Linked DNA regions of Oreochromis niloticus. The protein of the gene in region 1 purifies or fractionates together with the protein of each later gene. This does not show direct contact. Links are inferred from orthologs where the notes say so. Each region holds a gene or a part of one and is shown in the gene's direction. Other genes may lie near its edges. The genes, in order: bud23 and trmt112.

The links.
Region 2: the proteins of bud23 (region 1) and trmt112 purify together in Homo sapiens (affinity purification with mass spectrometry; 5 studies listed by BioGRID and IntAct, counting the BioPlex papers as one, with this or other methods). This does not show direct contact. The link is inferred for Oreochromis niloticus from reciprocal best matches to the Homo sapiens genes BUD23 and TRMT112.

Annotation. Positions count from the first base shown.
Region 1 is NC_031979.2:23,121,732-23,132,672, reverse strand, and holds the start of bud23 (18S rRNA (guanine-N(7))-methyltransferase), read left to right. Parts: upstream 1-5,462; 5' UTR 5,463-5,602; coding exon 5,603-5,650; intron 5,651-5,945; coding exon 5,946-5,983; intron 5,984-6,859; coding exon 6,860-6,955; intron 6,956-7,639; coding exon 7,640-7,722; intron 7,723-10,374; coding exon 10,375-10,471; intron 10,472-10,561; coding exon 10,562-10,658; intron 10,659-10,735; coding exon 10,736-10,786; intron 10,787-10,897; coding exon 10,898-10,941. Other genes in the region: dnajc30b (dnaJ (Hsp40) homolog, subfamily C, member 30b), read right to left, coding at 3,067-4,197.
Region 2 is NC_031966.2:20,624,313-20,636,126, reverse strand, and holds trmt112 (multifunctional methyltransferase subunit TRM112-like protein), read left to right. Parts: upstream 1-6,059; 5' UTR 6,060-6,185; coding exon 6,186-6,260; intron 6,261-9,687; coding exon 9,688-9,789; intron 9,790-10,330; coding exon 10,331-10,423; intron 10,424-11,154; coding exon 11,155-11,256; 3' UTR 11,257-11,555; downstream 11,556-11,814. Other genes in the region: atg2a (autophagy-related protein 2 homolog A), read left to right, coding at 105-240, 362-589, 792-893, 1,156-1,240, 1,444-1,606, 1,835-1,904, 1,994-2,076, 2,184-2,305 and 3 more. UniProt on the Homo sapiens protein: Acts as an activator of both rRNA/tRNA and protein methyltransferases. Together with methyltransferase BUD23, methylates the N(7) position of a guanine in 18S rRNA.

The DNA of each region.
Region 1 (10,941 bases):
GTTTGCTCTCTGTTTGTGTGTTTATATTTAACGTAACCACCCACCTTTATTCTATAATTAAGCTCTACGGCTGACAAAAAATGACCTGCCATACTTTCATGCTCCCCACGTAGACTGATCAGGGTGGCCAGTGATCTCAATTTAAAAAGCCACAGTTTACAAATGTTTGACTTATGCTAGACAACAAGTTAAAGACATGAGTCAATATTTGTAGTGCTTTTATGTCTGTAATATGTTACAGCTTGCATGCATTCATACTCACACAAAGAGCCTCGGGGAGCCCGTCAGGCCTCCAGCTGTAAAGTAGTGATCATTTCATTGTGCTGAGATGCCCTCTACAGGTCAGCTCTTGTAACATGGGGGGGGGGGCAAACACGGGTAAAATGAGAACGTCCTTGGCTAAAAATAAAGAAAAAAAATCTGCTGTGCACACAGTATTTAATTAGTAAGTATTTTCCTGCAAACACCAACTCAGTATCACATAATGCATTTTTTTAATTATTAATTTCTATTCATGAGGACATGATACAGTTATCTCACAATGAAAAAGAATCCTGGATTCAGGCCCAAACTAAAATGTAATCGCCTCTAAGCTGGGCCAGATCCTCAGCTCAGGTAATTACTAGGTAACTGCAGCGCTGTCGACTCACAGCGGGAACGCAAGAAGGGTTTGAGTTCTCAGGCCGGGGACTTTATCTCTGTACCTTTATAGCAGTGGTTCTTAACCAGTTTCATATGCGCATCCACTGAACCCCTCTTTAGTGAAAAATAAAATATGATTTTTTTCAAATTCAAGACATAGATATGTTTTTTACTGGTGCACAAAATGAGCCGTGCATGTCACGGCAGAGGCTCTGCCGAACCCCTGAGACCGACTCACCGAACCCCTAGAGTTCAATCGAACCCAGGTTAAGAACCACTGCTTTATAGGTTCTCTCCCTTTACACATGCATGTTAGAGTAACGTGTGATTCTAAATTGGTCATAGGTGTGAATGTGAATAGTGCTTGTCTCTTTGTGTTAGCCCTCCATGTTGTTGTCCTCTGCTTCCGGCAGCTGGAACAGACTCTGCCCTGATGCTGAATCAGTTAGGAACAAAAGGGATGCACTCCACAGTTTTATTGTATTTTTGGTACTGCAGCTTTCCTTACACATAATAATCGACTTTAAATTTTAATTTTACAATACATACACATATTTACACTGAAATAGAGAGAGGTGTCAGTATGTGGATAATGCTACTAATAACAGCTTATCTTATATGGAAACTTGTTTTTGCCGCTGAAAAGTCAAAATAAGTAACAAGATTGTAACTTTAAATTTTGACTTATGTATGGAAAAAAATAAATATTTTGTACCAAATCTTTTTTCCCCCCAGTGGGACAAAAAAAAGCTTCCATAATCTTCAAATTTTACTAAAGTGATTTTTCCACATTACAGAGCTGGAGTATAAGGAAGGCCAAAGGAATTGTGCATTATTCAGGAAGTAAAGGTATCTTCGTCCTTTTGAAGAAGTTTGATAGACAGAAATCAATCTGAACCACCAAAAGCTGTCTGGCTTCCCTCTGTTACTACAGAATAGTACAGGTGCTAGAAAGACTAACCCAAGGCTAAGCCGGGTACATGGTTTGCAACATGTTTACAACATGTTTCTACACCTATTTCATAGGTGCACAGAAAAGAAAAAGGGTCCAAAGAAGTCAAAGCTCCAGCAACCTTTGCAGTATAAAGAACAGTTTTGTGATTTTTACCAACCTGCTGCCTTCATCAGGGTAATCTTAATACCACAGGTGTTGTTGGAGCTTTGACCTCTTAAGACATAAAAACATGAAATGAGGTAATGAGGACATCACCCATACACTGAGTGTATCAGGGGTGTCAAATGCAGGGTAACACAAACTGTTACACTACAGGACAGCAGCGACATGTTTAACTTGTTCATAAAATGCACAAACATCACTGCACATGAGTGAAAATGGGTCAAAGTTATTGTTGCTTTTGTTAGTTACAACAGCTACATGTGAAGGTTTTGTGCTTTTGCAGGTCCACTGTGGTGTTTAATGGTTTCGCTCCAAACATCCCACTGTGGATCAAAATGGGCTGCAGGTGACTACAATGAGTTTGACACCCCTGACTTACATTCAAGTCCCCAACCTGTGGGGTGGTTTACAGTTTCCACTGCCTTCGATCCATCGCCCTTCTACACGTGGAGAAACTGAAACATTCAGTTGTCTTCTTACGGGACCGTACAGGACCCCTGCCTGTCTCAACCAGGTTTTGCTTTCTGTAATCATTCCTCATGTTTACACTGGTCATTAAGGACATGTTCACACCGTGTGTGGTTTGCATAGTGTTCACAATGAACCAATACAAACAAAAAAAGGGACATTCAGACAAATGCACAACCTGATTTTCCACTAAGTGTAGGCACAGGTTGTTGGATTTAAGCGATCTTCTTTTTAAATGAACTTTCAAAACCTTCAAAACCCAGTCTCTTTGTTTCCCTGAAAAGCGGTTCCACGCTGAGCTCAGGCAGATATAGAAATAGTGAGCTGCCAACAAAAGAGCCCGTCTTTCAAGAGGACATCCTCTTTGAAATGGGGACAGCTGAAGGCTCATTTTAGCTTCAGTTTTTTGAAAGGAAGGAGAAAACTGGGGCTTTTGTCCAACATCGCTTACAATAAAAACACATCATGCGTGGTTTAAAGGTCAATTCAATGTCCTGTGAACTATTAAAATGAAGCCTGGCCTCTTTTTTGTCATCACTTGGCATGAACAGGAGGAACGACTGTAAAAAGCAAGATCTGTTTTGTTTTTTTAAATCAAAGACTTGGAAAATGAACCCATGTGTTTAAACAATCAGTATACAGTACAGACATGGAGTCTAACAAGTTGCTGCTTGAAACAGCTTAAATAATCCGAGTGAGACGGTTTGTTTACTCCTGAAAACAAATGAACCTCTTCAGCTGTCAGCAACCGTGCAAACACTTCCCGTCTCCACCTCCTTCTCCTCACCCTGAGTGTCATAAAGTGCAGCCCAAGAAAGGAGCACCTCCGGCTGCCGCTTCTATTTCAAGGCCTTGACATTGATAATAATTAGCCCTGCCATGGCCAGCAGCATTACCACAGCCACCTCCATCATTTTCTTCTGCCTCCACCTGCTATGATGCTTCTTCAGCTCCTCCTCCATGCGCTGCTTCCTGGCTCTCAGGTCCTTCTCTCTCTGCAGCTGCTCCCCGTAGTGAGCCTGATAAAAGGCATCAAAATCAAATATGGGCCTCCCTCCAGGTTGGGAGAACTGTCTGGCTCTCTGCTGAGGCTTTTGTGGGGAGCCCGTGGATCTGCTGGAAGCCTCTTTACTGGAGGGTCTGCCTGCATTTTGGATGTCTGCCCGGCTCAGGATGCCACGGTCGTACTTCCTCCTCAGGCTGATGTTTCCCAGCACGGTGTAAGCCTCGCTGATATCAGAGAAGCGCTGGGTGGCCTCCTTGCTCCCGGGGTTCTTGTCAGGGTGGTAGATGAAGGATTGCTTGTAGTAAGCCGTCTTGATCTGAGACTGTGTGGCATTGAGAGACACTTTGAGGATGTCATAATAGGCAGTCCTGCTCCTGTGCAGCAGAGGAGTATCTTCTGAGCTCCAGCTGTAGCTTCTAGCTGCTGTGAAATTTGGCTTCAGGGTGTCAGGTCGCAGATTCAGACATCTCAGTCCGTGTCCACAGCCCAGCCTGTCTGATCCAGGATCTGCCAAGGTGAAGGTAAACGTGCAGAGAGCTTGGCGCTGTTGGGGGGAACTGAAGGTGTCAGAGTGGATGGAGACAGCTGCTGTCGTCCACAGAGTCCTCCTGCAAGGCAGCAGCTTCTTCTGGAGGAAAAGAGCAGCTTTATGAGCTCGCAGGCTCCCCATGTTTTCTAAAAATGCGATGAAACCGGAGGCAGCCGCACTCTCCAACACCTGACTCCCGCTTTCCTTCACTGTGGAAACTTTCTCTGACCTGAGAAGTTTTTCTCTGCTTTCTGAAGCTGACTGAACTGCACGTCCACACTGGACTGATTTCTCTGTAACCCGACCGGAAACGGAGGCATGGTTTGTTATATGACACCCGGGACTTTCTCCGGGGCACACGGCTCGACTCTGGCTGGTTTTGAGAGCGGAAAGCCGGTAAACTCCGTTCCCCAGCCTTTGACCGACCTCTGCCATTTTACCGAGAAGGGGCCGGAAAACAGCTGCAGCATCCGGCGCGTGAGAGAACGAGGACCCAATCAGAGTCAATGTTTACAGGAAGTAGTCAAACACAACCGACCAATCATTTAGCAGATCACCGGCGACATAAAGATCAACATAAACACTTTATTTATCGTGTAAAATTGAAGGAAATGAGGACAATTGATTTCTCTTTATCTTCTAAAATGTAAAATATAGTTGAAACATTTTAGAGAGATTTAATGTAAGTCCTCTTCTTTTACTGAAATGGCAATTCCTTATTCTTAAAACAGTATTTTTTATTTTCTTTTGTCATTTAAAAGACAGAGTAGCTACCTATTCAATACAGAGGCACAACCTTTGATAAGATTTTTCCGACTTTGTTACTGTGTGATTAATTAAACGTGAATTTTATAGAGGAAAGGGTTTCTATCTGTCTGGATGCTAATTAAAGCGGATATTTGTAGCTCTTTATGAGGAAGTGCTTCCTCAGATGAGATGATGACCACAAGAAGGGCAGCTTTAAAATATTGCAGCTCAAGAAATTTAAAAAAAAAGAGGATTTCATGAATGAATTAGTTTCTGCATAAAGTTCCTGTTTTTGTTGGAGTCAAGATGAATGAGAACCTGGATAAAGGTGCAAAAAATAGACAATAAAAAGATACATTAAAAAAAAAAACAGTAAGTTGGTGGCGATATGGAGGGTCAAAAATGACTATCATTAGTGATTATAATGATGTAATAAATATAGTATTAACAATATGGACATAAAAGCTGATTTGATTTTTTTCATTACAGTTAATCTACAAATATTATTCAGACATTTATCTCAAAATGTTGCCTTCCTAAACTCAATAGCAGTAATAAAAGACTGTCCTAGATTAAAGTCGAAAGATCCAAGATCCAGATTTTAAGTTGAAGTTGTAAGTATTTCAAATTTGCTACAAAAAATAATGCATGAGTATTAGGACCACATTCAGAATAAAGTATTAGAAAGTCGTTTTTTTCTAACAATTTATTATCAATTAATTAAAAGAAATTGAAATTCCAATTCAACTTGAATCTTTTTTATTAGCATTTTTAATTTTGAGAATTTAGTCAAAATTTAAGATAATAATAGTATGTTAGGATCAAAGTAAAAATCTATCTTGATAATAAAAAAGTATCTTTTCATATGTTTTTATTTATTTATTTATTTAGAAAGCTTAGGATGGTCCGCACGGCAGGTCAGAGGGGGGCAGTAAAGCGCTACATCGTTCCAAACGGTGCAAAAGAAGAAGAGGCGGGTCGTCGCTTGTGAATGACGTCACCATAATTCACGTGTGGGTCTTTTGCTATCAGGCAGCTTGTTTATAAAGTAAAATTACTCCCGTAACATAACGACTGACAAGGAGAAGCGAGTATGGCGTCCAGCTGTCGACGACCCGAACACTCAGCTCCTCCAGATGTGGTCAGTCGGACGGTTTATTGTGTTTTTTTTAGCTTTTGTTTTCTGCCGGTGCTTCTTCTACAGGAGCATTTTATATCTGTAAATGGCTCTTTAAAGGCCTCCAGCTGAAGCAGCTTTAAAGACATGGTTTAAATGGTTGTTTAGTGAACATGAGTCGGTTATTTATTTCAATCACAGGATGTGATTTGGTGAGCTTTGTGTTGGTCTGGTTTAAATGATACTTGAAGCTGAAGGCTTGTATAAGTAAACTGAAGTGTTGCTGATCTGTCAGTCTGATGTGCTCTAATTTCTCCAGTTCTACAACGAAGAGGAGGCCAAGAAGTACTCCCAAAAGTGAGTGTGGATGTAACGATACTATGTTTGTGACTACGTTACATGTTTATATGTAACACACTGCTCTTTTTTTTATCCAGTGTCTCTGTGTTTCTGTCCTTTGACATAATTAAACTGTGCGCTTAATTTAGTTTTTTGTTAGGGTTGCATTTCTAACATAGAGAATCTAGTTTTATTTCAACCCTTTTACTGTCCGCTGCACTTTATATATACATTCTGTATATGAATGAGACACTTCATTTAGTAAACCATTTTTATTCTGCCTTCATGGCTTCATGACTGCTGTTTATTTATGTTTAATTGGAAAGCGTTTGGTTTTAGGACTAAATGAGCAATCAGTTAATCTGTATCAAACCAGGTACAGTCGGTTGATAATGAGAACTCATTAGTTGCACCTCTGGGTGAATGCTCATTACTGCACAGTTGTTCAGCGTATAAATTAATTTGAAGACCTCAGGAAAGGATACATTTTTCTGACTCAGACTAAATTTAAAGATGCCCCATGTTTAGCCTCTTTCATACACTCCCACCTTGGTTAACTTACTTTGATGTGGGACACTGACCAAAGATTCAAACACCTAAAACTCCTTTGGGTCAAACATATAACAACTTAAAGAGGCTTTGTTTGTGGTTGTCATGTATGAACCACCCTTCCTCTTCCAAAAAAGGGGTATAGCTGTGTCATTACCCCCCTTTTCCCCTCCAATTCAGACGGATTTACTGTAAAACAGAATAGAGAACAGTTTTATGCCTTTCCGTCAGCAGCAAGTTGCCTGATTTTGTGTTCATAAGCGAGAAAGTTAAGTTTGCATATGCCAAAAAATGTTTTAATAATATAAAAGATCTGAAATCTTGTTGTGTTTTGTTGCTTCTTAGCTCTCGAATGATTGAGATCCAGACCCAGATGTCAGAGAGAGCTGTGGAGCTTTTGAGCCTGCCAGAGGGACAGCCCTGCTTCTTGTTGGATGTTGGGTGAGTGAGTGGCTGAATTTACTTATAGCAAGTACATAAAGTTAGAGATGTAACATGGTAGTACATATTTACTCTTAACAATAACATGAAAAGGCTCATTAATAAACTAAGCAGTGCTTTGACAGGTAGACTGCATATTGGCGATACTGTTGCATGAATGAATGTACGTTTAAAACTAGCTCCAATCAAACTTTATTGAATTCTTTATTAGTAATGGAAAAAAAGAAAAGAAAAAAGAAGTAAAGCATTTAAGGAAATCACTGAAAAATTGAGTTTTGAGAAACTGGCATTTTCCAGTACAGGAAGCATTTCCAAGAACTAGGAATGTTCTTGTGATTTGACTAAAAGGACGAGGGTCTAAATCAAGTTTCTGGGATATTATCTTTATCCTCCAAGAAGCCTCTTGCTTGGGGGATGCCGCAGTGCTTTTAGTCTAAGAACCTGGGAGGTGGGGGATGTAAACGTTTATGATTGGCTGTGGAGGGTTTTGTACCTCCCGGATTTATTTTAAGCACCGTTTTTTTTCGTGGTACTTAAAGGTGGAAATGTGGCAAAAGTCCGAATGTCTGCTGGTGTTGTAGAAAAGTCATTGTTTTGGGTTTTAGTTTGAACATAACTCATTGTAATGTGACACAGTAATCTGATGTATTTGTGATGAGAAACAATCTGGTCTGTGCCTCTCAGGTGTGGCTCCGGTCTCAGCGGAGATTACCTGTCAGAAGAGGGACACTACTGGGTCGGAGTCGACATCAGCACCGCGATGTTGGGTTGGTTTGACCCTCAAACTTTATATCAGTCATGATATACTAAATATATCATTAAAAATTTGTACATGTGCAGCTAAATACTGGCATATTCTAACACACCTGAAGGAAATGAACAGTCAGGCTACTGTTTTATTGATGTCCGTGTGTTAAAACATAATGTTTTTCCCAACATATAGTGCAAAGCTTGATTATATTCCAAAGATATTCCTAAAATCTGGTTACAGACTGGAACTTGATCAGTTAAAGGAAGACATTGTTAGCTTCAGGACATCCAATACATTCACACACTTATAGATAGTCATAAAACTAGAGTATAAAATGCATTCACCTACAGGGCTCGCAAAATTTCAAAATCCCTGGTAGCCCTTCGGGGAGGCACTCTTCAGTTTTTGGTAGCCCAAAATAAATTTAAGTAGCCCGAAAAAAAAAAATGAGAACAATTTTTTGATGGATGTTTTGTTTCCTTTACAGTAATATACATTAAAGTATAATATTGTAAAGGAAACAAAACATCCATCAAAAAATTGTTAAAACACAAATTACAACAATTGTATAAAAATTACAGTCATCAACTCAAATATTTGGAACTGTGTAGAACATGAATCAGTCTGTGTCAGATCCTGAATCTGAAATTTCTGCTTAAGTATAAATACATAAATGCTTTATAAATAAATACAGGCCATTTAAGTCCCGGGTAAGAGGTAAGTGGAACCAAGATCTAGGACATTTGCTTTTTGAAGTTTGCAAATACGGCTACATTTTGCCAATGGTATACTCTTTAGAAACACTGTTCTAAACAGCTTTTTCAGGACTTCTTGTTGTGCTTGGTTTATTTTTAGTATGTTTTTGCAATTGGTGTTTGTTCTGGGAAAGATACTGCAGACTGAGCAATAATGCATTTCTCATGGATTCTGATGGGGTCTTTCTTAAAATTACTGGTCCCAGTAACAAAGGCGCTTGTCGACTCAGATATTGAGGGAAACTCACGACACACCTGGCAGAACATTATGGTATTTACATTGTCATATTCCAGCCACAGAAATTCTTTTGTCCATGAAACCAAAAAAGCTGAGCTTTCTTTTTGCCTCATAGTCTGATTTGTCATAACTTTTCCTTTTTTTTGGTCGGCTTTTCTTTGGCTGCTCCTTCTTCACCCTGACCTTTATTATTTGGCTCTGCAGAACTAAAATTCCTGTGTAAATCCATCTGTTTTTACACACGTACTTACATAACAGTCAGCGATTCTCTGCACAATCAACCTCTATCACATGTTTAAGTTTGCTGTGGGAGATTTCACTTGTCACGTTTGAATAGTAGCTAATCAGTGATAAGACGATGTCAAAGGAATTGGTGCGCAATTAATCTGTCACTCACCAATCAGTACTGCTGCTCTCTATACACAGTTCGCGCGATCGCAAAGTGAAAGTAAAAGCCAAAAAAGAAGAAGCGAAAATTCAAACTCGATTTCACATATTGACAGTGGCTCATCGATGCCAATGACATAATTACTCAGCTACATTTGCGAAAGAAAATGCAAAAGCATTGACACATATTTTTCCTTCCTATGATAGCCCGACGGGCAGGGCTGAGTTAGATTTTGGTAGCCCGACTGGAAAAATCGCTAGCCCCGGGACGTCGGGCTAGCGATTTTGCGAGCCCTGACCTAGTATCTTTATTAGCTACACTTGTGCTAAGGTGCTGGAAACATCCCTCAGAGTTTGGTCCATATTGACATGATCGTGTCACACAGTTGCCGCAGATTTGTTATCTGTACGTCCATGATGTGTCAATAGATGGTACAGTGTGGTTGTAAATGAATGGACAGGGTCAGGAACAATACTCAGACAGTGGTTTTTAAACAATGGTCAGTTAGTACTAAGAGGCTCAAAGTGTGCAAAATCATATATCCCCACCACAATACACCACCAGCAGTCTAAACTGTAAATACAAGGCAGGATGGATCCACGCTTTAATGTCATTTAGGCCAAATTCTGACCGTACCATCCAAATGCTGCAGCAGAAATTGAGACTCATCATCACCAGGCAATGTTTCTCAAATCCAGTTTTGGTGAGCTTATGTAAATTTTAGCCTCAGTTTTCTGTTCTTAGCAGACAGGTATGGCCCTGGTGTGGTGGTCTGCTGGTGTAGCCCATCTGCTACAGCTCAGACGTGTTGTGCGTTTCAAAATACTCTTGATTTACTGTTGCTTTTCTATCAAGTCCAAGCAGTCAAGCCATCCTCCTCTGACTTCAACAGGATGTTTTAACTCTGAACTGCTCCTTATTGGATATTTTATTTTTCTGACCTTTCTTTGCAAACATTAGAAGTGGTTTTGTGGGGAAAATCCCAGCAGCTTCTGAATCCTCTCACCAGCCCTGATGGCATCAACAACCATGCTTAATTCAAGTCACTTAAATCACCTTTCTTCCTCATTCTAATGCTTAGTGAACTTCAGCTGATCTTCTTGACCAGGTCTACATGCCTAAGTACATCGAGTTGCTACCATGTGATTGGCTAATGAAATTTAAGCCTAAAATTTATTTTAAGCATAATAATAGATCCAATATGTGGTTAAGGTTGTTTTTGTGCATTTATGTCACCACAAGAAATGCATAAACTCTAAACAAATGTAATTCTCTTCTGTGTGACAGATGTTGCACTGGACAGAGAGGTGGAAGGAGACCTCGTACTGGGAGACATGGGCCACGGGATGCCGTTCAGACCTGGTACCTTTGATGGTTGCGTCAGGTAAAGAACAAAGGATACTTATAAGTCAGGCTCTTCCTGGGAATTTTGAATGATTTATGACCCCTTTAAAAAACTCTGTTTCTGTTTCAGTATCTCTGCCCTGCAGTGGCTTTGTAATGCAGACAAAAGGACGCACAGTCCCCCAAAGAGACTCTACACCTTCTTTAGCACTCTGTACTCATGTCTGGTAAGATTTTATCACTCAAACATCCAGGAAGCTTATTTTTGATGAAAACATTTTATAACCTCTCTTTGCTCTTTCAGTCAAGAGGCTCGCGTGCAGTTTTTCAGCTTTATCCTGAGAACTCAGAACAGGTAAAAGGGGAAAAAAACCCTTCTTGTTTCCATGAAGGCTCTGTGTCAGCAGAGGAACACCCTGAAGGTTTCTCTTCACTTACTTACCACTTTCCTCTTTTCTCTCCAAAGCTCGAGCTGATAACGACACAGGCCATGAAGGCAGGTTTCAGTGG
Region 2 (11,814 bases), on another chromosome or scaffold:
ATTGGTCAGTCCAGTCCATAAGTTTTTTGAAACTGTTGTGTACATAGTTTGTCAGATTTATAGTTTTTTTGTTCTCCTGTGTGTGTGGGTGCACCTCTCTGCAGAGGTCGTTCAGTCCCCGCTGGCGTCCGTGGGTCACCTTCTCGCTCCGCCCCCTCCTCTCGACCGCAGAACTCTTGGCGCTCAGCTGGAGGCATCGGCCGTCAGCACAGCCTGCTGATGGAGATACAGCTCACCAAGGTACACTAATGCATTGATATCACTGGTTTGAAAATGTAAGTTTTTTTTAAATACATATTGACATACAGCCATACATCACTATACCTCTGTCTCAACATGTGTCTCCTGTTTTGTCCTCCAGGTGTCGTTCCAGCATGAGTCCTACCCAGTGGCTGTAGCGGGGCAGGATGGGGAGGGGTCAGCAGCACCTGCGGTCGGGGTCGGTCCCGGTGGTGAGCAGCCGCTCTCCAGGCAGGTGTTCATCGTCCAGGAGCTGGAAGTTCGAGACCGACTGGCCTCCTCACAAATCAACAAATTCCTCTACCTCTACACTAGTGAGAGCATGCCCCGCCGAGCCCACTCCAACATGGTGAGACAGAGAGACGGAGGGTCTTTGATTAGAACTGAATTTTCTGTCGTGCACAGCATCTGACTTGGAGTCAAACCATCCTGATGTTGTAAATCTTTACTTGCTTTGTGCACTTTCTATTTAGCTTAGCTTTAATGCAATTAGGGACATGCTGAACAGACTTTGAATGATAGTACTCATGTGGTGTGTCTCATTTTTGTAGTTGACTGTGAAGGCCCTGCAGGTGTGTCCTGAGTCTGGCCTCGGGGGGCCAGAGTGCTGTCTCCGGGTCAGCCTGCTGCCACTGAGACTCAACATCGACCAGGTAACTTTTGGGACTGAATACTGAGAGCTGCTCTTGAACCTCATCCATGAGGTGGTGGCACAAAAAAACAAGTCTTACTGCAGAAATTATTTTGAGTATAGATGTATTAAATCTGTTTGATCGTCATAAATGAGCCGCTTCACACTCCACAGATGTTTCTTTGTAGCTCAAAATTCATTCACTACCATTCATTCTGCTGTTTGGACTGCTCCCATAAAGTATTCACATCTTTTCTTATTTTTTTTTCCTGTTTCTTGTGTAGGACGCACTGTTTTTCCTGAAAGACTTTTTTAGTAATCTAGCTTCCTCTGTTAATCCTTACCTGCCTGTGGATCCTGCAGCTGAAGGTGAGCTCTGTCAGGTCTTCTTTTATCATTCAATTCTTTGATGTCAGATCTGCCGAGCTGATTTTTATGGAGTTGTAGTCTTTTTCTTGTTCATCGTTGTGGCACAATGAATTTTAATTAGCTACAGAGTACATTTAAATGATGACTGAGGTGAATTTTTAGCATGCTAGGTTTGTGACCTGTTGTAATTTCTTTGTTTTCAGTGAAGGCAGATTTCTCCCAGAAGGGGTCTGAGGATCTAGAGATGGCTGCTGCTGCTGCTAGTCTTGGACCTGACCTCACAGCTTCTGTGGAAACTACCTACAGTGAGCAGAGTTCCTCTTCTGCTGGCTCCAGCACCTCCTCTGACCAGCCAATCTACTTCCGGTATGTAGTGACTGAAAAGAGAGAGAGAAATCCAGAGAAAGAGAATAAAAAAGAGCAGAGAATACTGTAAAGATGATGTAAGTTACTAGCTAGGAAATTCCTATGTTACAGAAGCCAAAGAAGAAAATTCACCTCTAACAAATTAGGTTAAATAAAGTAGAGTAACTCAAAGACTAAAAGTTTAAATGATTGATAAAGTTTCCCGCGTCTTGTCTCCATCCTTTTCAGGGAGTTTCGTTTCACATCTGAAGTGCCTATCTGGCTCGACTATCATGGCAAGCATGTCGTCATTGAACAAGTGAGTGGTCATTCAGAGATCCTGTCTACTGATTCAAACAAAAAGCTAAAGGGTTTAAATGATGTGTCTTCACACTTGTTGTTCCTCAGGGGACGTTTGCAGGGATTCTGATCGGTCTGGCCCAATTAAACTGCTCCGAGCTGAAACTGAAGAGGCTCTGCTGCAGACACGGGTAAAAACAAAACAAACCAACAAGCAAACATTTCAGCTATTTTTCAGTAATTTGCCCTAAATTTGCTGTTAGTAGTTTGACTTTCTGAGACTTTCTGCATGTTCCAGTCTCCTCGGGGTCGACAAAGTGATTCAGTACGCCGTCACAGAGTGGCTGACGGACATCAGGAAGAATCAGCTGCCCGGCATCCTGGGAGGTGTCGGACCCATGCACTCAGTCGTCCAGCTGTGTAAGTTGCTTTTGTCTTCTGCAACATTTTTACAGCTGCTTTCCATTGTTGATTGCATTGTGATTCATACTTCCTCTCTCCTTCATCCTGTCCAGTCCACGGAGTGAGGGATTTGTTCTGGCTGCCTATAGAGCAGTACAGGAAGGATGGACGCATCATTCGAGGTCTCCAGAGGGGGGCAGCGTCCTTTGGTACCTCAACAGCATCCGCTGCTCTGGAGCTTAGCAACAGGCTGGTGCAGGCTATCCAGGTACTCTGAGTGCAGATCATGACTCTTAGTTACACAGAAGTTAAAAGCCTGAAGGTAAAGAGCACACATTCCTAATATGCCGATAACTCTTCTGGTGTCTGTGTACCTCTGTGACAGGCTACAGCAGAGACCGTGTACGACATCTTGTCTCCAACGCCTCCTCTGAATCGCTACGCCATCACCGAAGGCCGGGCCACCTCTAGTCGACCTCGAAGAGTCGCCCAGCCTGCAGACCTTAGAGAAGGAGTGGCCAAGGCCTACGACACTGTCAGAGAGGTGCGTGCCCGAATAGACGCTCTTAAAATGTAGAAAGAGTTCGTGGGTTAGAGGCCAGGGTTAACCAGGGCTGAGGATGAAAAGAAAATTTCTGCAGCTACATCTATGTTGGTAGAAGAGGGTAACTATATGTTAAAAGGCCCTGTAGAAACTTCAGCATGCATGAATGCAAAGGGGGCTGAAACCCTAAATTTTTAGACTAAACTGTCTGCTCTCTTTGCTCTCCAGGGAGTGATTGACACGGCCCAACAGTTGTGCGATGTAGCATCCCGCGGCCACGAACAGAAAGGTCTCCCCGGAGCCGTGGGCGGCGTCCTGCGGCAGATCCCGCCCACTGTAGTCCGACCTTTAATAGTGGCCTCTGAAGCCACCTCCAATCTCCTGGGTGGCATGAGAAACCAGATCAAACCGGACGCCCGAAAAGAAGATTTCCTCAAGTGGCGCACAGAGGACGCCCAAGAATGAGGACAGCTTTTTGTGTCTGTGTGTGAGGGAAAGTGTGTGTGCGTATGTGTATACGAGAGTATGAGATTATGATTTGGGAAAGTCTATTCTGTGGGAATCCAGGGGTTGTATGAGTAGCTGCATGTGTGTTGTCTCTAAAAAGAGTCAGCGTGTGTTCCAATGCAAAAAAGAGAAAAGGAAAGAAGAAGAAATTTTAAAAAAAAAGAAGAAAAAAAAAAAGGACTAACTACTGCTGCAGTTCCTGACGCGCAGTGTTTAATGTTGCTCCCACATACATAGACGTGCCAGACTTCATTTTTCTGTTCGGGATTCGCTCGTTTTCCTGCTCTCTGTAACACACTAGTCTTTTTCTTCTTAACGTTAGTGCAAACATATCGCGGTCACTTTCTGCTGGCTTCGTTTTCAGTCTGACCCGGGCAGAGGGGGCAGGTAAGATTATCACGCTCTGTTTCCTCACTCATTTGTGTGCTCTGAACTGTGATGCTTGAAGCTGTTTGTAATTTGAAGCAGTGATTTTAAGCACGAGTTGCACGGAGTTGCACGGAGAAGGGATGTTTTTGACTGAGAGCAGCTTCACTTTAATGAGCCTTCTGCAGATGAGTGGGGGGTACCTGTCTTATGAGGGGGTTGCCATGTGTTAGTTTTGCTCTCTTTGTGCTCATAATGGAAACTGAAAATATTTTTGATCAAGTGTCCTTTGCTTAACACCCTTGCAGATGGTACAAAGCTGTGTGATTGGTTTAGCTGTGACTCCCACTATGCACCCGCTACCCTCAGTGCTGTTATTCGTGCCATAAACCTTACAGTGTCCTTTTTAACTAGTTTGTGTTGCCTTCCTCGGACCTGTACCTCATCCCCTAATCAAAGCTCAGCACATACAGTGGCATACCTGACTGAACAGAAACAACGGGTCACATGAAGTCTCTAAATTTTGTAGCATATTGGATTCTGCTCGAGCTTCACGAAGATGATCGTTTTTCCAAGCTGACGTCACTGCAGCTCTCCTGTTAAATGTCAGATCCTGGGATCTCAATTAGCCCACTATGTCCTCAGAAGTCCTCTGCCCACATCTTTAGTTGCCTTTCTGCATTTTTTTTTTTTTTAATTGTCTCTTCTTCTTAGTGTTTTTTTAATATTATTATTATTTTGTTAAAGCATAAGTATTGTCATATTTGTTTTCAGAGTAAGAGTAAAGAGGTATGTGAATCTGGTGAAAATGGAGGATGGAAAAATTAGGGTTAAAAATGTTTTACATTTTCTCTTTTTTTGTTTGTTTGTTTTTAATCAGTGTGAGGGACGCATGTCCCTGTCTCTGTGTGTGTGTGTGTGTGTGTGTGTGTGTCTGTCTGTGAATGTGTGAGGATGAGAAAATGTGTTTGTGTGCACACATGATGCACGTCTGTGAAGGTGACAGGTTGATGCTTGTTACACCTCTTGCGTGTAATTACTATTTACTATATCATAAACTGTATGAATGACCTGTATAATACAAAGATGAGGATTATACAAAATTAATAGAAAAATTAAAAAAAATTGAGTATAAAAACTGAACACCTGTCTGCCTTTATTTATTTATTTATTTATTGTATTTTTATTATTATGAATCTTATTATTGTTATTATTTATTTATTGTATCTATTGCTAATTTAAGCAGTGTTGTTGCTGTACAGTTTGTATACTATGGCATTTCAGGAACTTACTTGTAATTACTTACATCCAAAATGAGGGCTGGTATCTTCACTTGTTTAAAAAAGGTAAGACTCAAACTAACTCAATCTTGAGCTGCTGCAGTAATTAAACCTTTAAGTATGTACTGGTGCATCAATAATTATATTGCAAATCCTGAGTATTGATAATATTTTTATAAAATATACTGAGAATAGTGCATTTGCATATTTTTTTTTTTTAACTTTTTTAACTTTAATCTCTTTCATTACTTTTTTCTCTGATAATCTTTGTGCATGTTGCGTGATGAAAGGGTTATTACAAAAAAAATCACACTTTTTAATTTTTTACACTAAATACATAATGGGCGATTCTATAGTTGGAGGAAAATTTAGACTTCAAAAATTATAAAAAGAACAAAAGGCAGAGAGAAACTCTGTAATTTTCTATTATGTGTTTAAGAAAAACAAACGTTTATAGAAATAAAGGAAGGAAACTTTTAAAATTCATGTGTCTTTAGTTACAGTGACACGGTGAAGACTGGTAAAATACAAAATATGTCAAAGAGGACTAACCTTTGGTCTACCTATGGTGTTCATGTCACTTTCTCTTGTTCATCTCTCTGGTTTGTCTCCTCCGGTTCCAGGCTAAATAGGTGTGACCGAAATCTACAAAATAAAGGATATATAAATTTCGCTGCCAAAAAACTGATTTTTCAGAAACTTGCAGTGCAAAATTACTGTTATGTAAAATATATTAAAAATATATCAAAATACGTTAATATTATTTAACATATTTAAACTGGTTGGATCATTATAACAAACGTGTCAAAAAAACAAAAAACAAAGAAAAGATGGAATTATAACTTACTTTCTAATTTGACCTGCAGTTTGGTACTGCAGAAGTAGGAACAAGAGGGAAAAAAACAAAAAAGAGGGGTGTTCAAAAGCTACTTTATATATTACATATTTTGGAAACATTTTTTGTATAATTTATACGACAAATATTTGTTTTAGTGTTTTTGTGGTGCAGAAAATGTGCCTTTATTTAAAAAATACCCCTAATAATAAATTAAAAGCCACTAGGAATCAACGGAAGCTTCGGGAATCTTTTACGCGACGTACCACCGTCACTTCCGGTGCACATGTAAACGCCGCAGCGTGGTTTACGTGTAGCTGTCAGAGTGTTCGCAGTTTTCTGGCTTTTTAGCGCCTGTTTGTAAACATGAAGCTCCTCACGCACAACATGTTGACGTCTCACGTGAAAGGGGTCACCAAGGGATACCCACTGCTCATCAAGGTAACCGCGAAACACCTGGACAGCAGCTAATTCTAAAACACCAGAGCTCACCGAGCTTATCGCGACACACGTTTCTGCTAACGCCGAGTTCTAGTGTTTAGGTTTGATTTATGCAGCAGCAGTTCACAGTTCGCTTTATACTGTAAGGCTGAGACGTCCAGGATGAGAGAGAAACCCAAACAATCAGATGTTTCCCTCTGAGCTGCATTTGGCAACAGTGGGAAGGAAGAACTCCCTTTTAGTAGGAAGAGACCTTCGGGAGATCCAGGCTCAGGGAAGGGCAGCCGTCTGTTGTTTCTCTGCGGTTTTTACGGCTAATATCTTTGCTATTTTGGTAAACAGGTTCTAAACTACATGATTTATGAAGGGGCCATATATAAAATGAAGAAAATACGTTTATAGTGTGGTTATATTATATTTGTTGCATTTTCTACTGACCTCTTGGGCAGCTCTCTCATTAAAAAAAAGACATTTTTAATGTCAGGGAGCGCTTTTACCTCGATAAGAATATGGAAAAGTAACTTGATAGGCTTGGTAAGGCTTGATATTGTTATAGGTCAAAAAGTAATTAAGAACAGTTTAAATACCAACACGAATCCAGGAACAGTTGGCAGGGTCAGGAGTAAGAGGAGAGTAATAAAGGGAGAGTACAGAGAGACAAGGACAAAACCCACACTATCAGAGAGAGAAAACAAAACTTAATGACATCAATTAGTGGGATAAAATGTGAGGAGAGTGGAAATAATCCGAGCCTATTGCAGCATAACCTGATCCAGCTCCAGCTATAATCTTCATGATGATGAGAGGTTTTAAGCCCTAATCGTAAAGGTAGTCAGTATACAGGGAGTGCAGAATTATTAGGCAAGTTGTATTTTTGAGGAATAATTTTATTATTGAACAACAACCATGTTCTCAATGAACCCAAAAAACTCATTAATATCAAAGCTGAATGTTTTTGGAAGTAGTTTTTAGTTTTAGCTATTTTAGGGGGATATCTGTGTGTGCAGGTGACTATTACTGTGCATAATTATTAGGCAACTTAAAAAACAAATATACCCATTTCAATTATTTATTTTTGCCAGTGAAACCAATATAACATCTCCACATTCACAAATATACATTTCTGACATTCAAAAACAAAACAAAAACAAATCAGCGACCAATATAGCCACCTTTCTTTGCAAGGACACTCAAAAGCCTGCCATCCATGGATTCTGTCAGTGTTTCGATCTGTTCACCATCAACATTGCGTGCAGCAGCAACCACAGCCTCCCAGACACTGTTCAGAGAGGTGTACTGTTTTCCCTCCTTGTAAATCTCACATTTGATGATGGACCACAGGTTCTCAATGGGGTTCAGATCAGGTGAACAAGGAGGCCATGTCATTAGTTTTTCTTCTTTTATACCCTTTCTTGCCAGCCACGCTGTGGAGTACTTGGACGCGTGTGATGGAGCATTGTCCTGCATGAAAATCATGTTTTTCTTGAAGGATGCAGACTTCTTCCTGTACCACTGCTTGAAGAAGGTGTCTTCCAGAAACTGGCAGTAGGACTGGGAGTTGAGCTTGACTCCATCCTCAACCCGAAAAGGCCCCACAAGCTCATCTTTGATGATACCAGCCCAAACCAGTACTCCACCTCCACCTTGCTGGCGTCTGAGTCGGACTGGAGCTCTCTGCCCTTTACCAATCCAGCCACGGGCCCATCCATCTGGCCCATCAAGACTCACTCTCATTTCATCAGTCCATAAAACCTTAGAAAAATCAGTCTTGAGCTATTTCTTGGCCCAGTCTTGACGTTTCAGCTTGTGTGTCTTGTTCAGTGGTGGTCGTCTTTCAGCCTTTCTTACCTTGGCCATGTCTCTGAGTATTGCACACCTTGTGCTTTTGGGCACTCCAGTGATGTTGCAGCTCTGAAATATGGCCAAACTGGTGGCAAGTGGCATCTTGGCAGCTGCACGCTTGACTTTTCTCAGTTCATGGGCAGTTATTTTGCGCCTTGGTTTTTCCACACGCTTCTTGCGACCCTGTTGACTATTTTGAATGAAACGCTTGATTGTTCGATGATCACGCTTCAGAAGCTTTGCAATTTTAAGACTGCTGCATCCCTCTGCAAGATATCTCACTATTTTTGACTTTTCTGAGCCTGTCAAGTCCTTCTTTTGACCCATTTTGCCAAAGGAAAGGAAGTTGCCTAATAATTATGCACACCTGATATAGGGTGTTGATGTCATTAGACCACACCCCTTCTCATTACAGAGATGCACATCACCTAATATGCTTAATTGGTAGTAGGGTTTCGAGCCTATACAGCTTGGAGTAAGACAACATGCATGAAGAGGATGATGTGGACAAAATACTCATTTGCCTAATAATTCTGCACTCCCTGTAGTGCTGAAGGCTCTGCCATTTTTTCTCCTGCAAACTCCAGGAACCAGAAGTCAGCCTGCGCTCTGAGAGCCAAGTGCTCGCATGGGATGAAATGGCACTATAAGATCACTACTGGGTATTCCACAGTCAGATGTATTGGCAAGAAATTAAGTCTGTTATTTAAGTTTTAATAGTTGATACTGCAGCTTTATCACCACACATCCAGACTCAAGGAGTTTCTTTTGCAGAGCCTTCATACTGATCTGAGATCAGTTACACTTACATACATACACAAATTTAGTTTGTTCACACGGGTTTACACTTAATTGGTGTTAAGCCTTTGTAAACCTACACAGGTTTTATGTTTTTATCTATATATATAAAACGAAATGTGCTGTACAAATAAAATTGCCATTACACGCAGTAACAGTTGCTGAATCACTGAAATGCACTTTACACTGAGCGTTTTATCATGTTGTCTAATTTGTGCTTGTGTGAATCGTGTGTGACTGTATATACTTTTTTATGCACCAGATGGCAGGGCAGCGCTCCTAATGTCACTGTAACCTCTGCGTCAGTGACAATAAAGCTTAATTCTAATTTTATTCTTGTGAAATCCGGTGTGAGATTTTAAGAAGTAGTCACGATTAATTAAAAATATTTTTTTCCTGTTACACACACGACAGAGTGGTTGATAGTTACTGCTGCTGTTTACCCCATAAACATCTTTTATTTTTATTTATTTATTTTCATATACAGTTAAATGTAAAATAGCACAGCAGAAATTTGGATATTATCTCAGGGGAATGTTGAAGATGGTTACATTGTACATCAGCTGTGTAACATTTCACTGAAAACAAGTATATAATTGCGTCAAACATTAAAATGTTTCTCATCTATAATTATTGATGGGTTGCATTTAAACCCTTGCCTATTGCCAGCAGTAACATGCTTGCAATAGGCAAATATGCACATCTGGTCTTGTGTGACATCACGCATGCGTGTTTTGAATGAGTGGTAATACTGAACTTTTTAAACTCGTGCGTCTCTGTTGCGCAGGCCACTGAGGTGAAGGTGAATGAGGTGGAGTTTAACCCTCAGTTTGTCAGCCGGATGATCCCCAAACTGGAGTGGGGCGCTCTGGTCCACGCAGCGGAGGAGGTGAGTCAGACATCACCGACTTTCATTGTTGATGCTAAACTGGCTGTATTGGGGTGTGAGTTTGAATGGATGAATGTTTAATGGACTGGCTACCTGTTCAGGTTGTGTCCTGCCCCTCACTGTTTGTTGGGATGGGCTCCAGTGAACCTGAGCTGGATGAGTGGTTAAGAAAATGATTCAAAGTGGCATAAAAAGAAAAAGAGAACTAATATTCGGTGAGCACCCTTTGCCTTGAAAGTAACATCAGTGCTCGGCACGCTTGCTTCTTAAGATGAATAATAAGGGAGGTTGTTTGAGTGTGTGTGGATTTCTTCTCCCTTTTCATGTGACCACAGGCTGAATAAGGTTATTTTTTATGACTCTGGCTTTTATGTATGAGGTTGTTGTCTCGCTACGCCTTCCTGGTGATACTGCATCAATCTAATTGATTCATAAAGCGTCACAGGACTTGTGTTTATAAAAAAATGCTCCACAGTAAACTAGATCACTGGGGTGCATGTTGTAACGTAAACACCCAATGCAATCCTTTCTCTCTCTGCAGCTGGGTCATCGGCAGGACCTGCCAGGCGAGCTGGTGCAGGACTTCGAGAAAAACGAAGACTTCCTGAAGAAAGTGCACCGAGTGCTGTTAGAGGTAAATGGCTCCAAGATGCCAATTTTACCCCCCCTGTCTCTTCAAGGTCACTGTGGAAGTGACCTCAAAGGCAAAAACACCAAAACATCAGTGTCTTTAGTGGGCACGACTAGAAGAAATCTGTGAAATTTAGATTTGCCAGCTGTTTGTGGGTAATCAACACTGATACTACTCTGTCTACAAAATGCGACTGCTGCGTTAAAATCTTTCAAGCTGGCTTTATATGTGTAAAAATGCTTGACACTAACATCGGGCTGATACTTCATCTAACTTTAAGCCCCTTAGGCCACAGAGCCTGTCATTCACTCTTCTTCTTGACTGGCTGACAAAACTACAGCACAACCAGGAGCAGCCCACTCACACTGCTACCTGGTGACAGTAAAACATCTACAACATGTGTACATACAGTTCACAAACACAGTACCATAAACACCTGGGACATAAATCATTTGGATAATATTCTTGAAGATCAAGTTATTTGTACTTTTACACTTTCAGTGTATTTTCATTTCAACTTTAGTCCTAATTTTAATTTCAGGTGGTGTTAAAAGGGTTTTAAAATGCCTTAAACCTGCTTATACTTGTGTACACCCAGTAAAATCACCCTGTAAAATCATGTAAAATCATCACCTCAGTCCAGCACCATGGAGTGTGTTTGAGAGCGTGATAATGTGTGTGTATTTTGCACTATGGTGCCACCTAGTGGTGACTTCTTGTCCGTTGCGTTGTAGGTGGAGGTGATAGAGGGCTGTCTGCAGTGCCCTGAATCAGGACGGGAGTTCCCGATCTCCAAAGGAATCCCCAACATGCTGCTGAATGAAGACGAGGTGTAGATGGCACCGCCGCGGTTCCCATTCACCTCCTCACCCCTAAACTGTGTTTCTGACTCTGGATTGCGTGCATTCAGAGACAGGCTGGACTCTGGCCAGAGTTGGAAAACGGGCCACTGGTTTGATTGTAGTTGTGGCATCTGAACAGCCGATGCTGCCGGTGGAGAAGATTTGACGATTAACAGATGGAAACGTTCCCTGAGAGTAACCCCCAGTGGTTTTATCTGTATTTATTTTTGTAACTGTTTTGACTCCTTTCTTTTTTTTCCTTTTTCAATAAAACTGTCCAGATTTTCATGACAGCCAGAGTCATTAGTGGAAAATATGGATTCAGTTATATGCTAAAATATAACCCGGAGAGGCTGGCTCTGAACCCCATGCTGCCTTCTGCTGAGGGCCAGATGACGTGGCAGTGGCTTGTCTATATTTGGCTTTGAGGAAAAAGAGGCAGAAACGGCAGGCAGGCAGGCTGGAAGTTGTTTTTGAGGAAGTCTTTCTATTTTTTTTTCTTTTTTTTTTTGTCCTTGAAGCCACATATTACAGCTCTCATGCACGCACACA